Diceros bicornis minor: one gene and its partners. The protein of the gene in region 3 purifies or fractionates together with the protein of the main gene of each other region. This does not show direct contact. Links are inferred from orthologs where the notes say so. Each region holds a gene or a part of one and is shown on either strand. Other genes may lie near its edges.

What was found.
Region 1: the proteins of DCAF7 (region 3) and ZNF503 purify together in Homo sapiens (affinity purification with mass spectrometry; 4 studies listed by BioGRID and IntAct, counting the BioPlex papers as one, with this or other methods). This does not show direct contact. The link is inferred for Diceros bicornis minor from reciprocal best matches to the Homo sapiens genes DCAF7 and ZNF503.
Region 2: the proteins of DCAF7 (region 3) and DIAPH1 purify together in Homo sapiens (affinity purification with mass spectrometry; 5 studies listed by BioGRID and IntAct, counting the BioPlex papers as one, with this or other methods). This does not show direct contact. The link is inferred for Diceros bicornis minor from reciprocal best matches to the Homo sapiens genes DCAF7 and DIAPH1.
Region 4: the proteins of DCAF7 (region 3) and ZNF703 purify together in Homo sapiens (co-immunoprecipitation; 5 studies listed by BioGRID and IntAct, counting the BioPlex papers as one, with this or other methods). This does not show direct contact. The link is inferred for Diceros bicornis minor from reciprocal best matches to the Homo sapiens genes DCAF7 and ZNF703.

The regions. Positions count from the first base shown.
Region 1 is NC_080745.1:31,464,486-31,471,873, forward strand, and holds the start of ZNF503 (zinc finger protein 503), read left to right. Parts: upstream 1-4,211; 5' UTR 4,212-4,646; coding exon 4,647-4,946; intron 4,947-5,655; coding exon 5,656-7,284; 3' UTR 7,285-7,388. UniProt on the Homo sapiens protein: May function as a transcriptional repressor.
Region 2 is NC_080740.1:59,774,092-59,781,750, forward strand, and holds the start of DIAPH1 (protein diaphanous homolog 1), read right to left. Parts: upstream 3,157-7,659; 5' UTR 3,080-3,156; coding exon 2,963-3,079; intron 1-2,962. Other genes in the region: HDAC3 (histone deacetylase 3), read right to left, coding at 5,854-5,923. UniProt on the Homo sapiens protein: Actin nucleation and elongation factor required for the assembly of F-actin structures, such as actin cables and stress fibers. Binds to the barbed end of the actin filament and slows down actin polymerization and depolymerization.
Region 3 is NC_080757.1:46,427,237-46,434,425, reverse strand, and holds the start of DCAF7 (DDB1- and CUL4-associated factor 7), read right to left. Parts: upstream 3,242-7,189; 5' UTR 3,056-3,241; coding exon 2,918-3,055; intron 1-2,917. Other genes in the region: KCNH6 (potassium voltage-gated channel subfamily H member 6), read right to left, coding at 6,792-7,076. UniProt on the Homo sapiens protein: Involved in craniofacial development. Acts upstream of the EDN1 pathway and is required for formation of the upper jaw equivalent, the palatoquadrate. The activity required for EDN1 pathway function differs between the first and second arches.
Region 4 is NC_080768.1:34,456,112-34,463,710, forward strand, and holds the start of ZNF703 (zinc finger protein 703), read left to right. Parts: upstream 1-4,442; 5' UTR 4,443-4,730; coding exon 4,731-4,973; intron 4,974-5,979; coding exon 5,980-7,515; 3' UTR 7,516-7,599. UniProt on the Homo sapiens protein: Transcriptional corepressor which does not bind directly to DNA and may regulate transcription through recruitment of histone deacetylases to gene promoters. Regulates cell adhesion, migration and proliferation.

The DNA of each region.
Region 1 (7,388 bases), on a different chromosome or scaffold from region 3:
TTTGTCATGAGTTCCTCGGAATTGCACATTCCTGAGACAGCCCTGCCTCAGAGAAATAACCCGGGCTCTGAGAATGCTCTGCTTCAAAGAGTGTGACTGGGCCGAAGTGGTATATACGGTATACCAAGAGAAGGGAGAGAGAATAGGAAATATTTCTTGGCAAGTAGGGAAAGGGGACAGGGGAGAAAAAGAAAATTATTAGGGAACCAAGAAAGCAGCGGGAGAGGAAACAAAAAAAAAAAGAAAGAAGAGAGGGGGAAAAAAAGAGAGCCGGGGAGGCGAGCCGAGAAGACTGCAGGCCGTGGCAAGGCCCCGTGACCAGTCCAGGCAGCGGCTCCAGCAAGCCGTGTGCCTCCGCGGCCCCGAAAAGAGGCGAGGGCCGCCCGGGACAGTCCTACACCAGCCCCACGAGTCTGGGCCCCGCTCCCAGTCTGGAGGGGCGGGCCTGGGTCCAGCAGCCTCCTTGCACTCTTTCTCTACCCCCTCCCAGGGGACCACAAGGCGGGGCGGGACCGGGGTGGGGAGGCCCCCAGGGGCACACGCCAGTCCGGGACTGTTTGGGCGCTCTGGGCCAGGCTTTCCAGCTCGCCGGGCCTGACCTGTCAGGCGGATTATCTTCGAGGGAGATTAATAGGGGAGGCGGGCTGCAATAATAATCGTTTTGTTTGATGTGACAACTCTGATAGGCGTTGATTTACTTACAAACTGATAGGCTTTTAATTGAGCGCCTCCGCCGAGCCCGAGATGAAAGGCAAGCGGCGGTGAAAGGCGGCCCGCCTGCCCTCCGGCCTCAATACTGATTAGCCATCTCGACAGTGAATAGTTCAAGGCATTTTCAAACTTTTTTTCCTCAGCTCTCTCCCCTTCCTTCTCCTCCCACCCCCTCCTCAAATATCTGCCGTGCCTACTTCTTTTTTAGAGAAAACAAATCATTTCCATTGTGTGCAAATAAAACCCGCAGGACATCCACGACAACCGCCGCTGGGGGTTGGAGGCTTTAGGCCTAGCGCGGAGTAATTAATAACTCCCCCACCCCCACCGCCTGCGCAGCCTTCGGAGATTTGGCCTCCCTGGCGAGGTGCGCAGGCTCGGAGGCTGGCACCTCCCGAAAGCCCGGGGCGCGCAGGCCCCTAGGCGCCCCCCTGCGCTCCGACTTTCGGAGATGGGTTTTGCGAAGAGCGAATGCACGCGGACCACGATCCGCGCGCGCAGCACGGTGTAGGCCCCTGAGCGTGTGCGGCCACACCGCTGCACGCCCATTCCGGGGGTCGCGGGGGCCACTCTCTGGTTCCCCCAGGCTTTGGGTGCTGAAGCTGCTGCCTCTAAACAGCCCGGCGTAAAAAGAAAATGGCTAGAATTCCAAGAAAGGGAAAGAACTGAGTCCGGAGAAGGTGGGGAGGGGGAACGGGGGAGGCGAGGTGGGGTCACCTCCCGCTCTAGCCGCCGCCCCCAGCATTCAGTGTCTGGGCCTCGCGGGGAGGCCACGGCGACAGGCGGCCCACGGCTGGGCTCGCAGAGCTAAGGGCTCTACAGTTGATCCGGGCCGACACCTCGACAGCCGAGCACTCAATGACACAGACAGACACTAACACACCCGCAGGATACGAGTGGCCTCACAGACAGGCTGCCCTACAGAGGCAGTTTAGGACTGTCCTGCTCTCAGAAACGGGCACCTGGGACTCGCTCCCCAAAGACTATTCAGACAACCTTCACAACCTCTCCTGTGGCCTCGCCACCGTCTCACGGACTCACCTCCCTCAGTTGTCGCACAGGCAGACACTCCAAACCCCCTTGAACGCAGGTGTGTTCTTACACCTACACACGCGCACACATACACACACCAACAAACCGCAGCCCAAAATACACACCGCCTCACTCTCCTCTTCTCCAAATTATCTTTAGTCAAGTTACCATCTCATGAAGTTTACCAACCTAAAGAATCAAGGGATAAGATTAAAATGCAGGGGAAAAAAATGCCTACAAGATAATTCTAAAACTCACCCCAGAAAGTTCTCGGTACCTGTGCGGAGTGAGAGACAGAGACAAAAATGGGGGAGAGGGGAACGGGGTGGTGAGAGAGGAGAGGGCGAGCACGCCGAGGGCAGGTTCCAGACCCGACTCCCGCGCGTACCCGGCTCAGCTCCGGGTGAGCGCCGCTCGAAACCGGGTCTCCAGGCCGGGTCCCCGCCCCCCGTGCGGGTACAGACTGGCTCCTGGCTCCCTGCGCTCCCTGCCCCACCATTTATCAAAAGGACTTGACAACAAAAGAAGAGCCGTGGCGGAAAAGTGGGGGAGGGGAGATTCAAAGTCTTCCAAGTCCTTCCGAGGAAAGGAATGTGTCCTCCTCTCGCCCCCTTCCAGTTTCTGCGAGTTTCTGGAGGTGACCCCCGAACTCGCTCCGGACGCTACCAAAACCCTGGCAACTCACACAGCGGCACAAGCATACATACACACTTGTACACCCAGATCCAGGTACATGGAGACACGCACAGCGCCTCCCTTCTTCCTTCCAAACAGCGCGAGTGACAGTGCAAATCGAGGGGAACGCGGCAGTCCCGCTCCGCTTCCCTGGAAGAGCCGGTGTTCCCACAGGCAGCCGCCCCCTCCCTCTCTGGCTCCTTCTCTCTGCTCTCCCAAGCGCAGGTCAGTCCCAGATCGGCGTTCCCATTAATTCAAGCGAGCAGCCCGGAGTAACCCTGGCTACCAAGCTTGGAGGGATGGCGCGGGGTAGGGGAGGACTGGGGAGGTGAGCCTGAGTAAGCCTGAGACTTATCCCCCCCATACACCCACGATCAGGCCAGTTCTTCGCAGCCTCTCAGCACTAGCCACGATGGGGGAGGGGAGTCAAAAAATTGAGGCGGGGGCCAGAGGTAACCCCACCATTGACCTCTAGGACTCAAGGTGAGGCTGGCTCTTAGAAGTCTCCAAGTTTGGGGTCGGGGCACTACGGAGGGTGGGGTCCGCGGCAGGCTGGCAGCCTCACATCCGCACGCTACACGCCCCCGAGGGACTACGGCGGAGAGGGGGTAATATCCCATATAAGACGTCGCCGCTGCCCGCCTCGGGTACTGGGAGCCGCGCGGAACTCCGCGGCCCCAACGGACTGAAGTGCCCTGAGGTGGAAGGGTGTATCTCTCTCTCCGACACCGAAAGGGGCGAGGCGCACACCCCAGGCCTGCGCACCCATCTCACCGCCCTGGGCGCACCTGCGCACTTTACTCTTACTATTCATTTTCCTGGCACTGAGCGCCTCTTTCCCTTCTTCCATTCTTTTTCTTGAAGCACCCCCCACCCCCAATCCCAGAAGGCTGCTCCTCTTTCCCCCTCCTCCAGTTCCCCCTCGGTCTCTTCCTTCCTCTCTGTCTCTCTCCCTCTTTTTCCCTTCAAGTCGCACCCGCCTTGTAATCAGCAACAAAAGCTGACATAAATCACGGGCGGATTGACAAGAGCTGACAAATAACTGATTGATTGCGGTCGAGGAACATTGACAATTGATGGAGGAGTGGAGATGCCCAAAGAACTAGTGGGGGGGGGGCAGGGGGAGAGGAAGAGACAGGGTGGCAGGGGAGAGTAAGAATGGGAGGGGGGTTGAGTGTGAAACAGAGGAAACATGTGACCCCCGCTCTTGCCCCAATCTGCGCGTCCCCGGGCATCACGTGGCGGGGAAGGGCGGGGAGTGCGACGCACAGCTAGGAGATGAGCCGCCACCGCCTCCGCTGCCCACCTAGCTTCTGGTTTCTCCACCGCCCAATCTCGGGAAATCAAAGCGGGCGGGCAGACTTCCTCCAACACACGCTACCCACCTTTCCTTACCCTTGGGGCCATGCCGGGAGAGATTTCAATTACCGAGGAGAGAGTATTTGGTGTGGGGGCCTACTGTTCGCACCTAGAGTTGACAGTCCGGCTGTTGTCCAGACTCCCGCCGGTGCTCCTTCTGAACACCCCCTCAATCTGTTCCTCACATGCTCCCTCCTGCAAAAGGTTTCAGTTTATTTTCGACCTGAGAAAAGGAACGACGACGAGGAGGAAAAAAGAGGGCGGCGGCAGATACCAAACATAGAATAAATGTCCAGCTCGTCCTCGGAGCTAAATCGAGGGAGGGGACATGCAGGGGGGGGCGGTGAAGAGGGAGCTGCCCATTAAAACCAGCGCTGAGAGTCCTGGCGGCGGCGGCGGCGGCGGCGCGGGACGCGTCACATCCCCTTGACCCTCCAATCACCTCGGGCTCCCATTTGATTGGAAGGCGGCAAAGGCTTTAATCTCCCCCTCGGTGCAGCTGCTTTTGAAGTGAGTTTCCTCGCCAGAGCCCCGGCTGGACAGGCAGCGGCTCACATCGCAGAGCGCAGCGCCAGCGCTGGGCCGCGAGTGCGCAGCGCAGGGGCACAGTCCGAGGAGGACACCGCGAGCCACCCAGCACTCCTGCAGTCGGGCCGGCTCCTCCCGCTCGGCCGCGGCTCCGCTGCGGGCCACCCAGGATTATTCGCTTCTGGCTCCAGGCGCCGAGAAGGCGCGCTGGGCGCCCCTGGCCGCCGCGCCAGCTCCTCCTCCTGCTGCTGCTCCTGCTCCCCGGGCGAGCGCGCAGCCCCGAGCCCGCCCCGAGCCTCCCGGAGCCCTCCCCCCGCTGCTCCCATGCGCGCGGGTGGGTCATGAGCACAGCGCCCTCGCTTTCTGCCCTAAGAAGCAGTAAGCACAGCGGCGGCGGCGGCGGCAGTGCGGACCCTGCCTGGACCAGCGCGCTCTCTGGAAATAGCTCTGGCCCCGGCCCAGGCTCGTCCCCGGCCGGCAGCACCAAGCCTTTTGTGCACGCCGTGCCCCCCTCTGACCCTCTCCGCCAGGCTAACCGCCTGCCCATCAAGGTGCTGAAGATGCTGACGGCACGGACTGGCCATATTTTGCACCCCGAGTACCTGCAGCCCTTACCGTCCACTCCCGTCAGCCCCATTGAGGTAAGGACCCTCTCCTCGTATCGCGCTAGGACCACCACACTGGCTGTCGCTCCACGAGATTTCTTTCTCTTGGGATTGGGGGTGGGAGTGGGGGGCTCGGAGTGATTCAGCTCCGGGATAGGGGGCGAGGATAGTGCTCCCGCACCTTAAAACTAGAGCGGAAAGGGGAGGAGGTAGAATGCGGTGTGAATGCTGAGGGGCAAGGCAGCCAAAACTTGTCTCCCTTTGGTACTAAAGCCCCTGCCCCGACCCAGGCCCCCGCACTCTCGGCCCGGAAGACGGACGAGAGTCCGAAATACGGTTCCAAAGTCGCAGTCCTCCGCTTCCCCAGAAGCTGGTATTTGTACACAGCCTCAGGCACCAACTGCTCGAGCCCTTACTCTGAAGAATTAGGGATGTGTGTTGGGGGGGGGGGTACAGTTCTGGCGCTAGGAGTCAGAAACCAAAAGATTTTGTGAGTTTTTAAAAAAAAACCAGTTAGCGCTTAGAGAAGGCAGGAAAGATCCTGATTTGGGCGGCGGAGAGGGGGCTGCCGCCTTCTCAGGGGCGAGAATGTGTGTGTCGTGGGGGAGCCGCCTAGAATTACGCCTCGGGGCTGGAAAGATCTTCGAGGGCTGCTGCGGAGAGGCATTTGAACTCTAGAAGCCAGGATTCTAAAGGGTTTCCCGTTTTTTCTCTTTGTGCCCCCCGCCCCCATCTGACCCCGCAGCTTGATGCCAAGAAGAGCCCGCTGGCGCTGTTGGCGCAAACATGCTCGCAGATCGGGAAGCCCGACCCCTCGCCCTCCTCCAAACTCTCCTCGGTCGCCTCCAATGGGGGCGGCGGGGGCGGTGCCGGCGGCGGTGCTGGGGGCGACAAGGACGCAAAGTCGGGCCCCCTCAAGCTGAGCGACATCGGCGTGGAAGACAAGTCGAGTTTCAAGCCGTACTCTAAACCCGGCTCGGATAAGAAGGAGCCGGGAGGCGGCGGCGGCGGGGGCGGCGGGGGCGGCGGAGGGGGGGTTTCGGCGGAGAAGTCCGGATTCCGGGTACCGAGCGCCACCTGTCAGCCATTCACGCCCAGGACAGGCAGCCCAAGCTCCAGCGCCTCGGCCTGCTCGCCTGGAGGCATGCTGCCTTCGGCCGGGGGCGGCCCAGAGGGCAAGGACGACAAGAAGGACCCCGACGCTGGCGGCGGCGGTGGCAGCAGCAAGGGCTCCGGGGGTGCCTCGGCCGAAGGTGGACCCACGGGATTGGCGCACGGCCGGATTAGCTGCGGCGGCGGGATTAATGTGGACGTGAACCAGCACCCAGATGGGGGCCCCGGGGGCAAGTCTCTAGGCTCGGACTGCGGCGGATCATCGGGCTCCAGCTCCGGCTCGGGCCCCAGCGCGCCCACCTCCTCCTCGGTGCTGGGCTCTGGGCTGGTGGCACCTGTATCGCCCTACAAGCCGGGCCAGACAGTGTTCCCTCTGCCTCCCGCGGGCATGACCTACCCAGGCAGCCTGGCTGGGGCCTACGCCGGCTACCCGCCCCAGTTCCTGCCACACGGCGTGGCGCTCGACCCCACCAAGCCCGGCAGTCTGGTTGGGGCGCAGCTGGCGGCGGCCGCGGCGGGCTCTCTAGGCTGCAGTAAGCCGGCCGGCTCGAGCCCCTTGGCCGGGGCGTCGCCGCCGTCCGTGATGACAGCCAGTTTGTGCCGGGACCCGTACTGCCTGAGCTACCACTGCGCCAGCCACCTGGCAGGGGCGGCGGCAGCCAGCGCATCGTGCGCGCACGATCCGGCCGCTGCGGCCGCGGCGCTCAAGTCCGGATACCCGCTGGTGTACCCCACGCACCCGCTGCACGGCGTGCACTCATCGCTAACGGCTGCCGCCGCTGCCGGCGCCACGCCGCCCTCCCTGGCCGGCCACCCCCTCTACCCCTACGGCTTCATGCTTCCTAACGACCCGCTCCCCCACATCTGCAACTGGGTGTCGGCCAACGGGCCGTGTGACAAGCGCTTCGCCACGTCCGAAGAGCTGCTGAGCCACTTGCGGACCCATACGGCCTTCCCCGGGACAGACAAACTGCTGTCGGGCTACCCCAGCTCGTCGTCTCTAGCCAGCGCCGCAGCGGCCGCCATGGCTTGCCACATGCACATCCCCACGTCCGGCGCTCCGGGCAGCCCCGGGACGCTGGCGCTGCGTAGCCCCCACCACGCGCTGGGACTCAGCAGCCGCTACCACCCCTACTCTAAGAGCCCGCTCCCTACGCCCGGCGCTCCCGTGCCCGTGCCCGCCGCCACCGGACCCTACTACTCCCCCTACGCCCTCTACGGACAGAGACTGACCACGGCCTCGGCACTGGGGTATCAGTGAGGGCTGTCGGGAGGGCTAGCGAGGGAGAGAAAGGAGCTGGGGGGAGGGGAGGGGCGGGAACAGGGCAGAGGCTACTGTCACCCGCGCTTGGGGATGACCCGGGC
Region 2 (7,659 bases), on a different chromosome or scaffold from region 3:
CTGTAAAATGTAGGAGCACTCTGCAGCCTCCTAACATCCTGGTTATACTCACTCCCCTTACACACATTTCAGAAATCAGTCTATTTGACACCCACATTCATCACTGCTGAAAAGTCAGAAAACACTCTATTCATTCAGAATTTTTATTTTCCTTCATCTTAAGGACTTCTGAAAGGAACTAGAATAATGCCAGAGAAGGGATAAACACGCTCATGGCCCAGGAGAAGACAGACTTATGAAGAACCAAGGGGGAAGAACCAAGGGGGAATACCAAGTAGCCTGGCTTCAGCCACAAATGTCAGAACTCTAACCACCACGTGTTTTTAAAAGATGATTCCCAACCACTTTTTAAGCTCAGACTCCATGTCCTTTCCACACAAATGCCTCAGGAGGTAAGAGTAGATCTTAGGCAATTTGTGAGCTCTGTTCTCATCAGCTGATCTGTATTTAGAACCTGCATAAGCCTGGAAAGGTACGCAGCAGCTAAAGAGATTAGTAACCCCTCAGATGCAAACAAATAACCTTCGCACACACTAAGTCACAAACCAGTGCAGTTTCATAAAGTACATTCTTAACGGAGTTCCAGAGGACACACTCTAGAAAAGGTGGAGTAGGCGAAACAGCTTTGAGTTCACTTTTAGCCTGTAGTTCAAGAAAACTAAGCCATGGGTAACAAAAGCACACCAGCCATCTCACCCACTCCACCCACCCACATATACATACACAGCCACAAAGAGAAGTGGATTGCAATGCTCCTCCTAGTCTCTCATTTCCACGGAGTTCTCATAAAAAGAGCAATGAGAAAGACAATATTTTGATGCCTTGAGGTACATTATAGTTGGCAATAAAGGGGGTAAGAAGCACTACTTTCCTAGAAACTTTCCAATCCCCTAGCTACCAGTGCAATTCTCCTCAGTGCAATGCTACATACATTTTAAAATTCAGCAGGTTAAGAGTTAAGACCAACACCTAAGAAAAAGAGAACTTGGTTCAGCTCCACCTTCTTCCAAAGCAAATACCAACAGCTCTGAGCCAAATCCACTCAGCATATACAAGACTCCATGGACATTCCAAAAAACAGGTGAAAAGAAGTTCAGCTTCCTCAGGTATCTGAGGTGTTTCAGCACCACACACTTAGTAGATTTCACAAATTTGTGAAACACACAAGTGTTAGATCAAAAAAAAAGCACACATAAAATTCTATTAAGTACTTGAAAAACATTTACAAGTCACAGAGGTCACTATAAATCAGCAGGAGTAGCTGGAATTCGGGTGAGGAAGGTCAAACAGTACCCATGGAAACAAAAGCAAAACAAAAAGATACAGAAATAGAATAGGGGCCCTAGAACTTAAGTCTTAGGAGGAAAGCTCTCTAACTAGAGGGTTGAGTCTTATCCTAAAGAAACGAGGAAATGTTGCCTTAGTCACCATATGGGGAGGGTCACCACTACTATTTACATTTCTGGAAAAAAACGGTGTTGGCCAGATAAAAACAGGCAGTTACTAACAGCCTGTAAGTCACTGGAAAGGACAGTCTAGAAGCACCTGCCTTGCTAGAAATAGGAAGAGATGAGTCACTATTTTAATTCTGTTTAGTCCCCTCCACGCTTCAACCCTCTAGGTCCCAAAGCAACACTTTCTTCCTGTTTCCATCACTTTGTCAGTTTTCTTCTCAAACTTAAGTTGGGTCAGAACGCTAAGAAGTGGGGATAAGAGAAAGACAGAGGAAAGAGAAGCCATTTGGTTAGTAAAAAGAGATACTGGAGTGGGGGTGTGACTACCTGGAAGAGAAGACTAAGTAACTACAGGTACAACTAGCAAATGATTATTAAGATACAAGACTCTCCCTCTCTTGGATAGTGCCCCATATCTTTCAAAGCATTTACCGTAAGCAGCAAACAGCTCCTTGGAGAAAGGAGTAAAAAAGAGCATTTAGTGTGGGCAAAGGTAAAGAAAAATGACAGTGTTACATGAATATCAGTATTCCTTCAGACTCGGATTGGAAGTAACTGGCACCTGAGGAAAGCAACACTCTTCTACAGGTGGGAAAAGGGATCTCAGTAGCCTTGGGGCACAAGAGGTGGCAGAAGAGTAGAGGATGGTTATCATGGGAAATGTATAAAAAGCAACACAGTTACCCACAAACTTCTTGGACTTGCCGACTAACTTCCTCCCCACGGGGGAGGTTTATCACCATCCTAGCTCAAGAAGGGCACGAGCATGAGAGAAGCTGTACCTCCCTGAAAAGTGATAAGCAACAGGGCAGAGAGACAGGTTCTCTGGATAGAGAACTACTGGGAAGCAAATTCACGTCATGACCAGTGACCACAGCACCTGGGCAGCAACCCATTCCTGCAATCGCCAGGACACGTCCAAGGGAGGAGGGCAGGTAGGGCTCAAGTCACGTAACATTCCTGAGGGGAAGAATTATCAGGTGACACCGGGCTGAGGGCCCAGAGGTGGGACTCGGGGGGGAGGAAAGTTAGCAGGTGAAAGGGATCAATCTCAGAGAAGGAAGTGACCTTTGGAGAGGCAAAGAAGAGAATACCAAAAAAGGGGGGAAGGGTAATAAGCGAAAATGGACCCGGAAAAGCACAGAGAACCAAGATAGTGATACCTCGGGCAATAGAGGAAGAAGAAAGGAAGTGGGGCTGAGAGGGAAGAGATGGGGCTGAGACCGGCCGGGGCTATGGGGGCGGAGGCAGAGCGTGCGGGCTAGGGGACGAAGGAAGCCCCGAGGTTGCCGGGGCAAGAGCCGGGTGGGACTCTGGGGCTCCCCGAGGTCCCGGGGGGTTAGGATGTTGGGCTGCGGAGCCCAGGACCGAGCAAAACCAGGAAGGGAGGCGCGGAGGCGGCTCCCTAGAGACCGGCGTGCACCCCTGGGGCCGGCTGCGGGGATCTCCGGGGTCCAGTGGGCGGTTACGGGGCCAGGCTGAGGGAGCCGGGCGGGAGGGACACTCACAAATTTCTTGGATTTGCCGCCGTCGCCGCCCGCCGAAGGCAGCTCGTCCGGGCTCCGGCCCTTCTTCTTGTCCCGGGACCCGCGGCCGGGCCCCAGGCCCCCGCCCTGCGGCTCCATGTCCAGGTTCGCGCTGGAGAGTGACCCTGCGCCTACGCCGCTCCCGCCCGGCAGCTCTGAGCAAGCTGCCGCTGCCGCCGCCCAGCAGCTCCTTAGCCCGCTGCCGCGCCCCGCCTTATTAGCATGCCGGCTGCGCGCGCCTCATGAATATACAACGGCGACGCCTAGCTCCCGCCCGCGTGCCCCACTTCCGCCCGGACCCGCAGCCCCTACCAATGGGGGAAGGGACAGGGGTGGAGGGAAGCCGCGGAAACGCGCTACCTGCCCGGCGGGCCTAACCATTCGGATTCACGTGGGGGGGTGGTGAGCGGGCGGTGCAACTCTCTGCGGCCTCAACAGGGAACGGCGCCCCCTAGAGGCTGGAGCGGCGCAGGCCTCCCCGCTCCCACACAGTGCCCACGTGGCTGTAAAACCTGGACCCTCTGACACCCCAGACCAGGATATTATCTGAACCAAAATTCGCATAAGAGACTGTTATCTTGGCAGAAAATGTAGTGCCAGGCTTTCCAGGATAATACAGTTTTTATGTGGGCCATACCTATGGAGAACATGAAAAAATAAAGAAGTAACAGCTACCATTTATTGAAAGCTATGTGCCAAGAACAGAGCTTGGTGCAGGGCAAGTGCTAGACTGGAACTCGACTGGCTCTGGAGTTAGATTACCTAGTTTTGAATCCCAGGTCTGCTATTTTCTAGTTGTGTTTCTAATCTGGAAAAACTACTTACTGCCAACTTATGCCTAAACAGTAATAATAGTTACCATTTACAATGCAGTTGCTCTCTGCCAGGTACTATGCAAAACACTCTACAAGTATTTTTTTTTATAATTTTTATTTATTTATTTACTTTTTCCCCCCAAAGCCCCAGTAGATAGTTGTATGTCATAGCTGCACATCCTTCTAGTTGCTGTATGTGGGACGTGGCCTCAGCATGGCCGGAGAAGCAGTGTGTCGGTGCACGCCCAGGATCCGAACCCGGTCCGCCAGCAGCGGAGCGCGCGCACCTAACCGCTAAGCCACGGGGCCGGCCCTCTACATGTATTTTCTCACTGAATCCTCACAATGCCATGTGATCGATTCCACTAGTCTCACCATTTTACAGATAGGAAGTTGGAACTTGGAGAGTTGAAGTGACTTGCCCAAGAACACATAATTGATAGAAAATTTAAACCCAGGTTAGTCTGACTGCCAAGCCCTATGTTTAACCAGGATTCCCTACTGACATAAACCAAACCTGAGTGAAAAGAACAGGTGTTCTCCAAGAGTATGTTCTTTGTTCTACTAGCTTGATTTCCCCCTCAGTAATTTCATCCATTCTCCCAGGTACATGTCTCTTGTGTGAAAAGTAAGTGGTACCTAGTAGGGCCTCAAAGTATGGACAACATTATCTTGCCCACAGCTGGCAAAAGATTTCAAATGTATGTCCCTGGAGGGCAGAGTCAGTGACTTACTCTGGAGCCCCCAGTGCTCAGGCTAGGGCCTAGTATACTACAGGGACTCCGCCAAACTGGCTGGATCCTAAATCTGGCCTTTACCTCGTGTTCCACTTTCTATTTGCTTGATGAAAAGTTGCATAGAACTGTCCAGCCCACACTTTGAACTCAATTTGTCCAAAACAGTTCAAAAGCTACTTACTTTCTAAGCTAGAGTGTTGAGAAGCAGACAGGATCCAAGCATGGAAAGAGTGACCCATCTATTACTCTTCTTTCTTGTACCACTGTCCACATCTGCTATAGCATTTATCTCACTCCTTACTGGATTGTAAACTCCTCCAGGGAAGGGACCATGTTTGTAGGTACTACAGTATCTAGCACTGTTCTTCACATAGACAGTTAAGATAATGAGCAACTACTTATGGCAGGTACTGTGCTAAGCACTTGACATATTTTATCTCAGTGTATCTTCACCAACCAGCATCACCATTCCAAATGCCCAGGTTCAAAAACCTGAAGTTATCCTCTGCTCCCTCTCTTAAGCTAGTAATCTGCCCAGGTTTGTCTAACTCTTAACCAGAATGCTCTATTAACTCCCTATATATGAGTAAGATAATCCATGCAGAATACATATACCTAACATAAGTGCTAAATGAATGTTAAGTATGATTTTTATTATATACATCATCACTTCCATTTCCTCTCTTGTCATATCTGGGCAGCTAGCAAAAATTAAGAATATTACCAGAAAGGCAAAAGGTACAAAAAATACCAACTTGGTTTATTGGATAAAAACAGTGGTAAAATGGACATAAAACCAAAAGTCAGAACAGGACATTTTCACATCCTCTCCCAACTCAAAACCGCACTTCTCATCATCTGGGCTCAAGGTGTTAGGGAGCCAGAGGCCCCTAAAATCCCTCAATCTTCACCTGCACTGGAAGTAAGGCCTGCAGTTGGACCCAGGAAAGGAGGAAGTCAGAGGCAACCTCAGTCCTGTCTACTCCTCAGCCCTCAAAGTCTCTGGGTTGGAGGGAAGCAGGGAAGGAATAAGGGGGTCAGAGGGGCTGGTATTGGCTTGTAGGGCCCACTGCTTAAGATGTCCTAGAGACAGCTATCCTTGTCCCCACCCAATCCTTAATAGGTACCATTGTCAGGCCTTGGGAAGGAGAGGAAAGGGGATAGTTGGTTCGAGAACCAGATGTGGTCTCCAAACCCTCCCCTAGCATTGGTAAAAACCCGGAAGGTGACCGGTCCAGGGCTAGGGGAGCCACACCTTTTCCCTCCCACCCAATCAAGAGGTAAAAAGGAATTCCTTGGGATACAGCAAGCCTAGCCGCTCTTAAATCTCCACGTCGCTTTCCTTGTCGTTGTCATGGTCTCCATCATAGAACTCATTGGGTGCCTCTGGCCTGCAAAGCAAGGGGAGAGAGGTCAGGGTCCCACTCTCCAAGTTCCAATCTTCTCCCACATAGGCACCCTCTCTGGAGCCATTTCTCAGGCCCCCTTTGTCAGAGAACCACTCTTCTCCTTCTGTTGGTACAGACTGATCACCAGTCATTCATCCATTCATATAGTCAATACCCATTTATTGAGAGACTGCTCTGTGCCAGACACTGTCACAAGCCCTAGCAATACAGTAGAGAATAAGTCAGACAAAATTTCTGCCTATCTCAAAAAACGTACCTAATAAATGAGACTGACAATAACCAACAAAGTAAACAAATAAACATGATAACTTCAGATGGTGGAAAGTGCTATGAATAAAACGAAATAAAGCGATGTGACTGAGAGTGATGGGAGGAAAAGGGTAAAACTTCAGACAAGATTATTAGGGAAGGCTGTTCTAAGCAGGTAAGACCTGAAGTCTGAGAAGGAACTGGCCAGGCAAAGATCTCAGGAAGACCATTCCAAGCTGCAAGAAAACCAAGTACAGAGGTTGTAAGGTGGAAGGAGATTGATGTATTCCAGTAAGAGCAAGGAGACCAGGATGGCTGGGAGTAGTGTGCATGGAGCAGAGTAGTCAGAGATGAGACCAGGGATGTAGGTATGGGCCAGCATGCAGGGCCTTTTAAAGCCATGGTCAGAAATCTGGATTTTCTTCTAAGTGCAATTAGAAGGGAAGCTTCAGGGCCGGCCCCGTGGCTTAGCGGTTCTGTGCGTGCACTACGCTACTGGCAGCCAGGGTTGGGATCCCGGGCGCGCACCCACGCACCGCTTCTCCAGCCACGCTGAGGCCGCGTCCCACATACAGCAACTAGAAGGATGTGCAACTATGACATAACTATCTACTGGGGCTTTGGGGGAAAAAAAAGGAGGAGGATTGGCAATAGATGTTAGCTCAGAGCCAGTCTTCCTCAGCAAAAAGAGGAGGATTAGCACGGATATTAGCTCAGGGCTGATCTTCCTCACAAAAAAAAAAAAAAAAAAGAAGGGAAGCTTCGAGCAGAAGAATGACATGATATTATAAACCTGTAGTGGGTGAAGGGATGTGAAAGCAACACAATAAGGGTCCAATAAGTATTCAATACTGGTTCCTTTCTTTTTGGAAAACTATTCTCTGGGAGAATATGAATAACTCATAACTGAACTCTCTTGCCCACAGCTGATAACTGAGAAAGAAGGGAGAAAGTCATCAAAGAGAAGTTGGGGAACTAAGTCAGGAAAGGCCTTCTCTGCCTGGTAAGCAATGTCTCAGTTACCTCTGCACAAGGGTTAAAGGTGTGGAGTCAGAGACTCAGGTTTGAATCTCAGCCTTGATATTTAACTAGCTGTGGGACCTTGGAAAGTTATTTAACCTCTCTGAGCCTTAGATTCTTCTTCTGGTAATTTAAGGATAACAGCCACCTCTTAGGGTTGTCTGACGGCAACAAAATGATGACAGGATGATATGTATGTTTTAATATAAAGCACTTAGTATTGAGTCTGGTGCTTAGCAAACCCACAGAAAGTGGTAGCTCATTATTACTACTCTGTAAATGATATGCAAGCTGGAGCTATAAACATCAAAGAACAGGAACTCAGTGGGTGGTCTGACAGTGAGGTAAGGCTTAGGACAGGAAGAGGACTGAGGCTTCTGCTGGCTGTTGAGAGGGGGTGGTATAATGCAGAGACTAGGCCCAGATCCCAGCCTAGTCTGGAACTATAG
Region 3 (7,189 bases):
TGGGCTTTTTCATCAATGTTAATTTGCCGTGTGTCCACTGTCCTCTGCTGGCCATCACTATCGACGGCAAGCAGGAACCAATGGTCTGAAAATTCCAACCGGTAATTCGTCAATTCCTCTAAATTATGAAGTCTGGCGCCTCCAAAGCAAGGTTTCTCCAAAACTGAACCTGAGAATCACTGCATTAAAGTGGGATTTACTGCCCACCATCCCTTAGGCACAGATCCTCTGCAGCCAGGTTTCTTAACTTGAGGTCCGTGAACCTGAATTGGAGAATCATTCATATTTTCACTAATCTCTAACTGAAATTTAGCATTTCCTTCCATTACAAACAGAGGCAGCTACTCACAGCAGCATCAATATCTGTGACTCCGTCACCAGTAGAAATCACTGATTTTTTTTTCATATCACAGTACAGTAATTAAACATCTTAAAATGGCATTTACCCTCATTACTACTTCAAAATTACAGTAATAATTACACTGGATGGTGTAATCTAATGAGTTAATTTAAAAGTACATATTACTATATCACCACTTTTTTTTTTTTTAACTTTTATTTATTTATTTTCCCCCCAAAGCCCCAGTAGATAGTTGTATGTCACAGCTGCACATCCTTCTAGTTGCTGTATGTGGGACTCGGCCTCAGCATGGCCGGAGAAGCGGTGCGTCGGTGCACTCCCGGGATCCGAACCCGGGCGGCCAGCAACGGAGCGCGCGCACTTAACCGCTAAGCCACAGGGCCGGCCCCAATATACCACAGGGCCGGCCCCAATATATCACCACTTTTTAAAAAATGTTTTTGATAACTGTAGTTCAAAATAATTGGTTTCCTTTGTAATCCTATGTATTTTATGCATTTGGAAACATAATTATGAAAAGAGATCTATTGGCTTCAGATTGCCAAAGCTGTCCATGGTGCACACACACACACACAAAAGTTAAGAACCCTGACCTAGATAGGTGGGGGCACAAAAACAGTTTTAAGACACTGCATTGCCTACATCACTGGAGTGAGTTAACATAGTTAACTGCTTGTTCCCTTACTACTAGGATTATTAGTTTGCATTTCACTACTAAGACCACACTGCCTTTGTGCCTGGCACAAAGAAAGAGCTCTATACAGTTGCTAAATGAAAGGACAAACTTTGGGGCAGAGTTACTGTAACTGAGGTTTGATGTCAATTACTCCACTGATTCCACCAGCAGCCTAACTGTGGCTCTGTTTCTCCTTTCTTAGAAATGGGACTACTACTGCTTACCCAAATAGATGCTGGAAGAACTTGCAAGGAAAAAAAAAAAAAAAACACACATCAATTTGGGTGAAAAAAACTCAAGCCCCTTGAAAGACATATTTTGCTTTTTTTTTTTTTTTTTTTAACATGTATCCTTAAACAATAGTTCTAGCGGTCTCAACTTGACTAACACAGTTTCCACACTAGGACCTTGAATTCCATTCCCAGCTCTGCTGTCTACTATGGGCCATAAGGAAGAAAGAAGCATCAGAGAAAAAAAAATAAAGCTATGTCTTACTCAGGACTCTCTGCTTTCTGTGGACAATGGGTAGACTACAAGATCAGTGCATACTCCCTGGGATTTGTTTGTAAATTGTGTACGTGTAATGTCTGGGCAATGAGAGCCCATCACTTTCATCAGTTTCTCAAAGGGAATTCCAAAGAAATTTAAGACCTAACTCTAGAGAAACAGCTGTGCTCCTGAAAAACTGTAACCAAACTTACTATGTTCAAATAGTTTTTACATGACCTTCATGTATAAAAAAGAACCCCTTTCCTACAATAAACTGTGAGTCAGAAACAAGACTGACCTGTGCAATGCCCCATAGCTAGTCAATGGACCAGACAGGACTCAACCCTAGACCATTTGGCTTTTTCCCCCTGCACCATGCCTGTCACTGTCCATACAGTTTTATTCTCTTAAATCATGCTGTTCATGGTGTTAAGCAGGAGCACAGGCTTTAAACACCATTAGCCAAGGCTTTCAGTTGCTCTGATCACTATCAATCACAATGTTTACTCTAATACAATAAAAGGAAGAGATAAAGGGGTAAAGAAAATTCTCCCCATTGACTTATTCAACAACTTTCAAAAATAAATTTATGCTGCACTGCCAGCTTCAAAGCTACCTCCTACTACCCGTGCTTCTAGGAAGGGTTCTCAAATTCTGGATGTCCAGAAACTTAACTACTCGGGTTACACAGCTGTATTAGCATGCAAGAAGGCAAGAAAAGACACGGCAAGTGTCATCCTTCTCTACTCAGAAAACAACGGCGGGATCACGGCCATGGGCCAAGATTTTCAGAAAGAGATCGCTTTGAAAACGACGGATATCAGGCAGCAACAGCAATGGCAATCCTGGCAGAAGGGCTAGGGGCATGAATAGTACCAGAGAGTGGGAGTAGGGGGCGGGGAAGCCCGCGCAGTGAAGAGTCCTAAGAGAAATCTGGTGTAGCCAGGAGTGAATGACTACCAACTGAGGAGCCAGCCTTTTCCTTCATATCCATCCCTCTCTCTTACCTCCTTCGCCCCACAACTGAAGCAATGCGGCAGGAGAGGAGGAGGACAGGAATGATAAAGGGCACAGATTTGGGTGGAAACTCGGGTTTGAGACCTGTTTCCACCACGAAACAGCTGTCTGAGTCGGGCAAGTCACAACACTGTGCCTCAGTTTCCCCATCAGTAAAATGGGGGTAACCACACTCCTGACTACACAGGAACGCTGCCAGGATTAAACGAGACAACGACTGCGAAACCCTCTGCACAGGGCCAAACTCAGAGGAACCGCTCCGTGAAGCTAAGGCAAGTTCGCAGAAGGGTCCTGGGGTTTGGGGTCCAGCCCGGAGAGGGCGCTCCCGGGGCCCGCTCCCCGCCAGCCGGGTTCCGAGCCCCTGCCCGGCCCACCTTGTTGTTGTACTCCTCCACGAAGCTGCCCAGCGCCAGGCGAAAGCGCTTGTCGGGCCGCACGCTCCAATTCATGGCGTAGACGGTCCAGGGCGCTTCATACTTGTAGATCTCCTTCCGTTTGCCGTGCAGGGACATGGTGGCGGCGGCGGGGCCGCAGGGCGGGCCGGGACTACAGCGGGCTGCGGCGGGCGGGGCACGGGTCGGGCAGAGAGCCGGGCCGGAGACGGAGAGGGTCCGAAGGGAGGCGGGGCGGGGGCGGGCAGAGACGGCCTAGCCCGGAAGCGGGGCAGCGACAACAAACAACGACGGCCGGGCCCGACCCTCAGTTTAAAACCCGCTTCGGCTCGGACAACCACCACCTTCCGTTTGAGACGCCGCCCCGCCCTCTCGGAACGGAAGCCACGCGGCCCACGCAGCGGCGCCGGCCGTTGGCTGCCTGACACGTCCGTTCGAACAGTTCCTTCTTCTCATTGGCTATTGCACCGTAACTTCTGAAACCTCTTCACTATTGGCGTAAATGTCTGTCATTTCAATTACTTGCCCTGCCCAATTCCAAGGGAGGGGGGGGCCCCGGCGCTTTCGCAGTCCCGAAGGTCATTGGCTGACAAAGATGTCAGTCAGAGAGATAACAGCGCAGTGCGCGTGAATGGGGTGAGGGCGTGGGAGGCATAGGAGGCTAGCGTGCGGAGCGGCAGGCCTTCAAGTTCTAGGCCAAGTCTCCGAGAGCGAGAGCTCTTGTGTAACGTGCTCTCACTCCCCCTGTGCAGGTGCTATTCCGAGTGGCTATGCCACTCTGTCGAGTAAAAATTAAAATTCTGCCTTTCCTGAGGGCCTGCTGCATTTCGCGTCACTGAGCCCCGCGGCCTGGCAGCCTGGCCCGCGCTACACGCGAACCACCTTAATTCCCCACTCGTGCCAACGCCCTGTTTAAGCCGGAGAGTTGTTCTCCCAGTGCCCCAAGGGCAGGCCCGCCGGTGTACTCAGGGCCAGGCCAGCTTCAGTCGGGCCGTCCTGTGCTTTCCTGGCCACCGTCCCGTGCTTTCCTGGCCATTGTAGAAACACGCAGAGTTGCAGGGTTGGAATTCAGTAGGCAGCGACCCGAGCAGCTTGGCTCTAAGTTTTTGTGGTTGCCCTCCCGTTCCTTCACCGCTGAGGGTCCTAAGGCAAATGCTTGAATCAAGCCCTAAGTATACCTGTGCCAGTGAGTTTGAAATGGAGGAGGGTCCCATCTAGGTAATGTCTCCATAATTTAAATGGTTTCCAATTCTTTGCTTTCAGTAAAATTAAAGGATTGTATTGAATTGTTAGATGATATCATTAAATATAGTTTTCAATGATAAATGTGATTGTTAACAGACAACTCAGAAAGAATTCAAATTGAGTGACACTGCCATATATAACAAATCCCTTAGATTCCCATCTACTTACTTATGTGAACAAGTTTTCTCTGTGCGTAAGTTTTTAAAAAAGAAAAAAATAAATAGGTACAAAAATGTTGAGGGGCGTGCCCGGTGGCTTAGTGGTTAACCGCTACCGGCAGCCGGGTTCCGGCGCGCAGCACCGCACCGCTTCTCCGGCCATGCTGAGGCCGCATCCCACATATAGCAACTAGAAGGATGTGCAGCTATGACATACAACCATCTACTGGGGCTTTGGGGGAAAAAAAGGAGGAGGATTGGCAATGGATGTTAGCTCAGAGCCGGTCTTCCTCAGCAAAAAGAGGAGGATTAGCATGGATGTTAGCTCAGGGCTGATTTTCCTAACAACAACAAAAAAATGTTGAACCTTGAATATTATTATTCTAATAAAAAAATGATATTCATCCACACACATGAACTAATTGAGAGGAAAATACCCTTTTTTAAGAAATGCATTTCCAATAAAATTTGTTTTTATAAGAATTTGAATACATATTTATGTTGTTTTGAACAACTCTGTACTAAGTGTAACCCGTAAAGCCTTAGAAAGTTTACAAAAAATTGATTTTAAAATTTCAACATATATATATATTTGTGTTGCAAAGAGATATGATAAGTTTATCAATAATAGACTTTAAAGCATGGAAATAAATTACATGTAGCATAAACTGTGGGAGGAATAGAATGGAATTATGAGAAGAAAAAAAGGAATAATGTTAAAGAAGAGCTTGTTCTGATGTTTTTAAAATGAATGATGTTGGCTCTCAAATCACTATGCTATTTGGATCGAAATGGATCAATATAAATGGTATCATTTATAAAGTGTCAATATTTACAACACACTGGAAATTACATCCTTTGCAACTCTTTAAACTTATCAATGAAATACTTCAGACGTCAACTTAAAAATGTATGAAGGGAGAAATACATTTTCAAAATTTTTTAGGGAGTACTGGAACAAAAAGGACTGAAGACCAGTGACCAGGTACTTTTTGGACGATAGCCCATTTCAATGGAGTAGTTAACTGTACATGTTCTCAAGCTGGACCATCTGGGTTGAAATTACATCCTCTTTTTCCTATAATTTTGGGCAAGATTCTTTTTTTTTTTTTTTGGTGAGGAAGATTGGCCCTGAGCTAACATCTGTTGCCAATCTGCCTCTTTTTGCTTGAGGAAGATTGTCCCTGAGCTAACATCTATGCCAATCTTCCTCTATTTTTTTGTATGTAGGGACACCACCACAGCATGGCTTGATGAGTGGTGTGTAGGTCTGCACCCAGGATCCAAACCAGCAAACCCCGGGGCCACCGAAACGGAGAGCATGAACTTAACCGCTTCGTCACCAAGCCAGCCCCTGTTTTTTTTTTTAAATTGAAGTGTAGTTTACACATAGAAGTGCACGTATTTTCACAACCTGAAACATACTCATGTAACCAGCACCTAGATCAGGGAACAGAACAGTACAGCACCGCAGAAGTCCCCCTCATATGGTTAGGTAACTTTCTTAGTCTTTCTCTGCTTCTGATCCCACATCTCTAAAATGGGGATAATAATATCAACCCCACAGGGTTGTTGTGCAGATTAGGTGAACTAATATCTGCAGTGCAGTCAGCATGGTACCCAGCACTCAGTTAGTGTTATGGAAGTGTTTGCTGTTGTCATGATTCCTGATGGCCACCAAGCCAGCACCTCTCTGCTTCCCTTCACCCCAGCCTGGCTAAGAGCCCCATGATCCAGGGGCTCCTGGGCCTGATGGAGCCACCTTCAGGTCCCCAGCACACAGCTCCCTTGAGAGGGGCTTGGACAAGACAACAGATGTTGGGGTCATTGCACAGTCAAGAACCTGATGACCCTCAGGTAAGTTACACACCCAACTCAACATGAAATGTGCAGACTTTATTAGCTGTGAGGCACTCCACTGCCTGCTAGGGTCCCAAAGGTCCTTACAGAACCGTCAGGGGCAGAGCGGCCGAGGGCTGGAGCTCTGTGCCCTGATGTGTTCGCTACAGAGGACACTTTCATCTCCAGCTGGGTCACAGGCTCTAGGCAGGAGGTCTGACCAATCATGGGTGCTGGGCTGTGAGGTGGTGGATAGTTCTGAGCCAGGAGGTGATCACACCCAGCCCAGAGCAAGGCTCTCATACAAAAGATCGGAAACTTTTTCTCTTTTCCTCATTGACCTCTCTGTTCTGTAAGCTACCTCCATGCCCGAAGCTCACCCACCCTCCACCAGGCCCACTGTCTAAACAGCGCCCTGAAGGAGGCTGGGAAGAGTGCTGAGCCTCTCCACCCCCACTGTCTTGGGTCATCTGGGTTAGCACTTTATAGCTACTCTAGGAGAATGGTTGTCAGAGGCCCATTTTGGAGGCTATCTGCCTTCCCCAAATCCTTAACTTTCACCTCATCCACCTTCAGTCCCCTCATGGTGTCTTTTATCTTGGGGTTCAGTGGCTCTAACTCCCTGCAAATCCAGGATCTGAGCCATGTCTCTGGAACTCCAGCTGCTTGGGAATAGAGCTGAGATGTTCAGGGAAGGAGGGGAAGCGGGGACCACAGACAAGTCCCTGTACCTCCAGGGGACGCAGAGGAGAGGCCAGGGGTGGTAGGAGCCCCGCAGGCTGCTCCTGTTCCGAGAAGAGTGTTGTAGTTTTGTCCGCTGCCGTGATCAGGTGAGGTAACATGGAGGAGGAATTCCTGTGCTTCGGCCCACATTTGTCCAAGTCACCAGAGCTTGGGGTCTGAGGGAAGCAAGAAAGAGGGAGCCATGCAGTGTGGGGAGCCCCCCAAGCCACTCTGACTTCAAGGATGGGAACTGGCAGGAGCCGTGTCCTGCTGCCCTTGCCCTGGCTGT
Region 4 (7,599 bases), on a different chromosome or scaffold from region 3:
GGGAATCTGATGAGGTGTGAAATCAATCAATAGCCTTCTCTGTGTAAAATTCTTATTCATTCATCAACAAACATCTATTGGGCACTTATGGCATTCAGACTGCCTGGATTCACACCCCAGCCCCACCTCTTAGCAGCTGGGACTTTGGGCAAGTTACTTAACCTCTCTGTGCCTCCATTTCCTCCTCTACGAAATGGGGTAATAAGGTAATGACAGGACCTACCTCATAGGGCTTCTGTGAGAATTAAATGAGGTAATGCATGCAAAGTGCTGACAACACTGCCTGGCTCTCAGTGTTGGCTACTGTGAGGATGATAAACACCTTGCTAGGCCATAAGAATACAAAGAGGATGGGCACAATAGAGCAGCATTCGCAGTCCAGTGAGAGAGTGGACAAGTAAACAAACAATGACAGATGCCATGTGATAAGTGTAATAATAGAACATAATAGAACTATGAGAACATGGAAGAGGGAGCTACTCGAGGGGGCTCCCTGCAAGGCTGGCTGTTCTGGTTTGCTCCCACTGTTCCTCTGCCCGTCTGGCCCTCTCATGCCCAAGCTGGGTCTGCAGCCCGGGGATGGGGCAGACGGAGGAAGCGCCTCCGAGTGCCCTGAGCGCAGTGCGCGAAATCAGGGCTCCCGGCCAAGACAGTAATTGCCAGCCGCTGAAAGATATTAAGCGCCAGGGAGGAAAACCAAGTTCTCTATGAGGCAGACTTTTCAGAGTTCTTACAGCTTATTAAAAAAAAAAAAATGTAAATAGTTACCCAGTGAGATATTACTTCACGTTGTTGCCATTAGGGTTTGAGTGTTATGCAGAGAGAGCCGATCATTCAGGCAATTCTGCCTCAGCGAGGATGGAAAGCTCCACGGTAACCCCACACAACAAACCTCCCACCTCTAGCTCTCCACCTGACTCAGGCATTTTTTCCTGGGTGGCGAATTTTCTGTAAATTGAAGTCGTGGAAAAAAATCTATAAATATTCAGAATTTCCTAAAGGATTTTCTTGATGGCTTGTGGGGGCATTTTTTTAAAAGACAGATTTGACTGGTGGCTGGGGGAGGGGGTGACTCTCATTTCCGGAGAATTCTTGGACAGCTTGGGTCTTCTGGTCTGTGCCCTCCGGATCGGTTGGCACCATGGCTGCTCTCCAGAGCAACTGCCCCACAGATGATGCATGGACCACAGCCCTCATTTACCTGTGCCTTTCTTAGTGCCAAGCACTAAACGTGTGACATGCGTTGTCTGCTTCCGGCCTCCCAACTCTGAGGTGGCCACTCTTGCGTTTCGCACATGAGAAACAACAGCTTGGGGAGGTTAGCTTGCCAGGGACCACCCCAGCATCATGGTTCAGAGGCCTGCCTCCCAGAGCCCAGACCCCAAGTGACCGTTCTGCCACTCACCCGGCATGTGACTTTGGGCAAGGGACTAAGTTCTCCACGCCTCCCTCTCTTCAGTTGTCAATGGGCATGACAACAGTACCTGATGTTTATCAAGTGCCCCACGCACAGAATTGTTATTCTTCACCACAATGGCACGGGGCAGTCTCCAGCAGCATAGAATTGTTACTCTTCACCACAATGGCACGGGGCAGTCTCCAGCAGCGCTCACCCCTGTCCTATTTTAATGGTGCTGCTCACTCCCAGGGCAATCTGAGAAGGGCCTGGATAGATGGAGACCCCTTAATCATACATCTGCCACTTTTCTGCAAGGGGAGGCCGTGTGCCATATACCCTCTGCGACAACGTCTTGCACGGACTTTTCAACCACACCCCTAGCACATGCTCTGCCTACAGCTGGCCCTCAATAAACCTGGCCCAACTGAATACTGAGCCTTATTCTCTTCTGGTGACAAGCCATTCCTTTGAAAGCTGTCCTTGCTTTAGACTACTAGGGCCCCTTTTAGGACTCTGTATAGGTTACAGGTTCAGGTAAGTGAATGTCAGATCCTGATTGTAATAATCCTCTAGCTGTCTTTTAATTAGGCTTCCGGCCTGGCTAATTATGGTGTTCCATGTTCTCTCCTAAGGCAAATGGATGGAGCCAGGCAAAGGAGCCCTGCTGCCCTTACCAGCACCCCAAAGGGAAGGGTGTCCCTACTCCCTTGTTAGCATTTTCCAATGTGGTGGGAGTAGGGGGACGCCAGGTCTGGTCTCCACCTCCACGCTGTCTGGCGCCCACTGTTCCTATCAGTGATTACTGCTGTGAGCTAAGGGAGTGGGGTTTTTTAAAGGACAATATATTATTACCTAGGCAAATTCCCCACCCGCCACCACGAGCCATCCTGTCCCAGCCTCCGCCTTTCTCCCTTTCTTTCATTCGTTCACTACCTTCTTCTTCTCTCTTCCTCTCCAAATAGAGAGTAAACATTCTATCATCCTCTGTTCTCCTCTCTCCTTTCTGCTGCCTCCTGCTCCTCTTTTCCTTCCAAATTCCTAAATGCCCTTTCTCTCTCTCCCCCTCCCCTTTCCTCCCAACTGATTTCCCATTAATCATTCCTAACACACACATCTGCTTGGGCCCTAGAAGGAGTTCTTGGTGGGCTTTCACAGCTGGGCTAGTTACAATAATCAAGAAGGAGTCTTTCATCTTTTACTGTCCCCTAGGTCTCCCCTCTTCCCAGCTCTTCCTCCTCCAAGGTGCCCCAAAGGCCCACCCTCTCCACTCTGGAAGGCACTCTCCTGTTCGCTGTCGGCATAGCAGTCTCCCAAAGGCCGAACGGCCCTGTAGGTTGAAGAAGCCCTGTAATGTAGTATTGGCAGTGACAGCAATGTCAGACTTCAGAGGCTGGCATGAGAAGAGCTGGGGGGGCGGGGAATAGAGACCACCACAATAAAATAAATGGGATCCCCCCCTGCTTGTATCCCTCTTGCTGCAGTATGAAAGACATCTCCCAGTCAGGGCAGCCCTTGGCATTTTTTTAACCTGTGTATTGCTAAGAGGTCCACTCATACTGCCCCAAAAATCAGCACGGATCCAGGGAGTAGATTTAGTTTAGTGTATGATTGTCATGGCCTGGGAGTGGTGCCTGCTGTCTTCACTGGGCATGATAAAGGTTCGTGATTGCTATTTGTTATTTCCGTGATAGTTATTTCTTTCTGTTTGAAGAGCCCCTTTGAAATCACCTATCCCCATCTTGAGTTCTCATGTTGTCTCAAGGCGCGGCAGAGTCGGGGACGGGTAGTCCTGGAGCAATATGCCCCGAGCGACAGGCCTGACAATCGGAGTGATGGATTGGGGCTGGGAAAGTGGTACTCGAAGCGAGACAGTGTCACCAGCGCGCCTCCACTGGCCGCCGAGAGCACGGAGACTTGGTCTAGCCGGAGGCCGGCGCACAAAGGACCAGCTTAACCTTCTGACGATCGCGGACCGGGAACTTTAATGTCAGGACTATGACTATGTAAAATCTCTGCCAAGTGCGAATCTGGCAACGCACACTTTATCCGAAAGGCGCGCGGCGGGGAGGGGGGAAGAGGGTATTGTTATTTTTAATAAAAAGTTTTTATTCCGAAATTTCCCTGGGAAAAGCTAGTGCATTACCCCTCCCCCCAACACTCGCAAGAAGGATGGGGGGAGGGGCCGCGCATCTCTGGAGTTTGTAACGACCTGCAGCACCTAAAGAGAGATCTCCCCTCCTCTGGGATACCGGCCTCTCCAGTGATCCCGGCTTCCCCCAAAATAGCAACTAGGCGCGGTGCAGGGCAGGAATTTTACGCCTCTAAACTGGATACGATAGCAAACCTGAAACACACCCAAACACCGAACCTATAAATCAGCGCGCGGCCACCGCGCGCCAGGCGCGTCGGGGGGTGCGTATAGCCAGGGGTACCGCGCTTCATCGCGACCATCTCACCCTGGAAGGGAGTCCTCAAACTTGCAGGCTTCGGACAGGACTGGCTCAAAGTAGTTGGAGCGGCTTACGCCGCGTCCCGAGAACCGTGGACGCCTCCGACGCTCGGACGCTTCCAAGCAAGCACTCCCGGGAGAAGCCAATTAGGGGAAGAGAGCTGAACCGGAGCAGAGCCCGAGCAGGGCTGGGGCTCTGGAGGCGCGGCCCGCCCCCAGGCGGCCTCTGGGAGCGGCTTGGACTCCGCAGTACCGGAGCCGGCGCCGCGCGCTCCTACCCCCCACCCGACCCCAATCCACCCCACCCCAGACACCCTCGGCCGGCGGGTCACTGCCCTCGCCAGCACAACACCCGGCGGTGTGAAGGGAAAGGAGAGAGCGAAAGGAAAACCAGCCGAGGGTAGGGCGCAGAGCCCAGGGTCCCGGGGAAGTCTCGTCCTCCGCGGGACCCCAGGGCAAGGGCGGCCCAGTGGGGGAGGGAAGGAGTACCGCGGGTGGTAAAGGCCGGGGCGGCGGCGGCGCGCAGGCGAGGCCCCTTTAAGGCTCTCCCCTCCCACCGGCGGCGCCGGCCTCCGCCCGCCGCTCTCCCCGCCCCGGGGTCCCGGCGAGAGCTGCGATTGGGCGGGCGCGGCGATCCCTTTGAAGTGTGGCTGCCGATCGCGGCTATTTGACGTGCGGCTCGCGGAAGGCGAAGGTTTTTGTGTTGCTCGCCGGGGCTAGCGGCGGCGGCGGGGCTGCGGCGGCGGCGGTGGAGGAGGGGTGGAGGCGCAGCGACTGCTGCACCGCGCCCGACGCTGCGGAGCGAGCCCACCCGCCCCGGGAGCTCGCCTCCCCGGTGCTCCCCCTCCCTCCCCGCCCCCCCAGTGGCGCTGCCTCCTCCAAATGAGCGATTCGCCCGCTGGATCTAACCCAAGGACACCCGAAAGCAGCGGCAGCGGCAGCGGCGGCGGCGGGAAGAGGCCGGCGGTGCCGGCGGCGGTGTCCCTCTTGCCCCCGGCGGACCCCCTGCGCCAGGCGAACCGGCTCCCTATCAGGGTCCTGAAGATGCTGAGCGCTCACACCGGCCACCTCCTGCACCCGGAGTACCTGCAGCCGCTGTCCTCCACTCCCGTCAGCCCCATTGAGGTCAGTCTCCTGGTCGCTGCCCGCCCAGCGCCGGCCCCATTGCGCCCACCACGGCCCGGCCCACGGCCCTGCTCCCTGCGCCCCGGGGCTGGGTGCGACGCTCGTGTCGGGCCACGCTGGCGGACGGAGTGAGGAGAGACGGAGAACAGAGGGATCAGAGCCCACCCGGTTCTCCCCAGGCTTCTCCGTGGAAGGTTCCCCTTCCACGCTCGCCCTGCGGAGCTACGTGTTTTCTCTCCGATTGGGTTTGCTCTTGGAGCCTCCACTGGGTCCTTTACTTTTCCTCTGGGCACCCAGTTTCCAGGCCAGAGATGATATCGCCCTGGCGTTTCCCACCCCCCACCCCCATCCCGGTTTGGTCTCTTTGAAGCTCGGTCGCCCCCGTCCCACTCCGCCTCTGTCCCATCCGGTTAGAGCTCACTACGCCCAGGCACTCCCGATCCCAGGTCTTTCTTCCTCCCACTTCCCTGGGTGCCCTCCCCGGGAGGGAGGGGCTACCAAGAGAGCGCCAACGGCAGCCCTCGCTTTAGCGCTTTAGAATGCGCTTCTCCTCACTCCTACCCGCGGCGCCACCGCCAGAAACCCGTCCCAAGCGAAGTTCCCCAAACTGAAGGAATAAGTTTTTCCCTGGACATAGAGAAGAGGGTGATTAGAGGGAAGGGGGAGTCACAGCCTCTCCCCCAGCTTCAACTCCAGAGAAGTCACCATGTCCCGCAGTGCCTTGGGTGGACTGCTTCCAAGGCCCCATTCCCCGGGGCCTGTGGCGCACTCTGGGCCCCCGGGAAGCGGGGGATCCCACCGACGGGCAGTGTGAGCGCTGTTCCGCCCAGCCGCCCCGCACGGCCGGCCCTCGCTCTCAGACCCTCTCGCCAAGGCCTTCCCGCCCCGTCCCGCCGCCTACCGTGGTCCCCGCGCCCCCCGCCCCAGCTCCCCAGGCACCCCCGCTTGCGCCGTCGGTCTCGTAGTCTCACCCCCATCTCCCTCCTCTTGCCGCTGTCTCCCACAGCTGGACGCCAAGAAGAGTCCACTGGCGCTGCTGGCCCAGACTTGCTCGCAGATCGGCAAGCCGGACCCGCCGCCCTCGTCCAAGCTCAACTCGGTAGCGGCGGCGGCCAACGGGCTGGGAGCGGAGAAGGACCCCGGGCGCGCGGCCTCGGGCGCCGCCTCCGCGTCCGCGGCGCTCAAGCAGCTGGGGGACTCCCCGGCCGAGGACAAGTCCAGCTTCAAGCCCTACTCCAAGGGCGCCGGAGGCGGCGACTCCCGCAAAGACAGCGGCTCCTCCTCGGTGTCCTCCACCTCCTCCTCGTCCTCCTTGTCCCCGGGAGACAAGGCGGGCTTCAGGGTCCCCAGCGCCTCCTGCACGCCCTTTCCCCCGCACGGAGCACCGGTCTCCGCGTCGTCGTCCTCGTCCTCGCCCGGTGGCTCCCGGGGTGGCTCTCCGCACCACTCTGACTGCAAGAACGGTGGCGGGGGTGGCGGCGGGGAGCTGGACAAGAAAGACCAGGAACCGAAGCCCAGCCCGGAGCCCGCGGCCGTGAGCCGCGGCAGCGGTGCGGAGCCCGGCGCACACGGCGGCGGCGCCGCCGAGGCCGGGGCCTCCGGGCGCAAGTCGGAGCCGCCTTCGGCGCTGGTGGGGGCTGGCCATGTGGCGCCAGTGTCACCCTACAAACCAGGCCACTCGGTGTTCCCGCTGCCTCCCTCCAGCATCGGCTACCATGGCTCCATCGTGGGCGCCTACGCCGGCTACCCGTCCCAGTTCGTGCCTGGCCTGGATCCTAGCAAGTCTGGCCTTGTGGGAGGCCAGCTCTCGGGGGGCCTGGGCCTGCCTCCGGGCAAGCCCCCCAGCTCCAGCCCGCTCACCGGGGCCTCCCCGCCCTCCTTCCTGCAGGGATTATGCCGCGACCCCTACTGCCTGGGAGGTTACCACAGCGCCTCGCACCTCGGCGGCTCCAGCTGCTCCACCTGCAGCGCGCACGACCCGGCCGGGCCCAGCCTGAAGGCGGGGGGCTACCCGCTGGTGTACCCCGGGCACCCGCTGCAGCCCGCCGCGCTCTCGTCCAGCGCCGCCCAGGCCGCGCTCCCGGGCCACCCGCTCTACACCTACGGCTTCATGCTGCAGAACGAACCGCTGCCGCACAGCTGCAACTGGGTGGCGGCCAGCGGGCCGTGCGACAAGCGCTTCGCCACCTCGGAAGAGCTGCTCAGCCACCTACGGACTCACACGGCCCTCCCGGGCGCGGAGAAACTTCTGGCCGCCTACCCCGGAGCCTCGGGCCTGGGCAGCGCCGCTGCGGCCGCTGCGGCCGCCGCCTCCTGCCATCTGCACCTCCCCCCGCCCACCGCGCCGGGCAGCCCCGGGTCGCTGTCATTGCGGAGTCCACACACTTTGGGGCTAAGCCGGTACCACCCCTATGGCAAGAGCCACTTATCCACGGCTGGGGGCCTGGCCGTGCCATCCCTCCCCACAGCTGGACCCTACTACTCACCATATGCGCTGTATGGACAGAGACTAGCCTCAGCCTCCGCGCTCGGATACCAGTAACTACAGTTCTGCCTCCCTCCCAACCCTCCTCTCCTCCCCGCTCCGCCTCCCTTCCCCCACCGCCTCGCCGCTGCAGCCTCCACT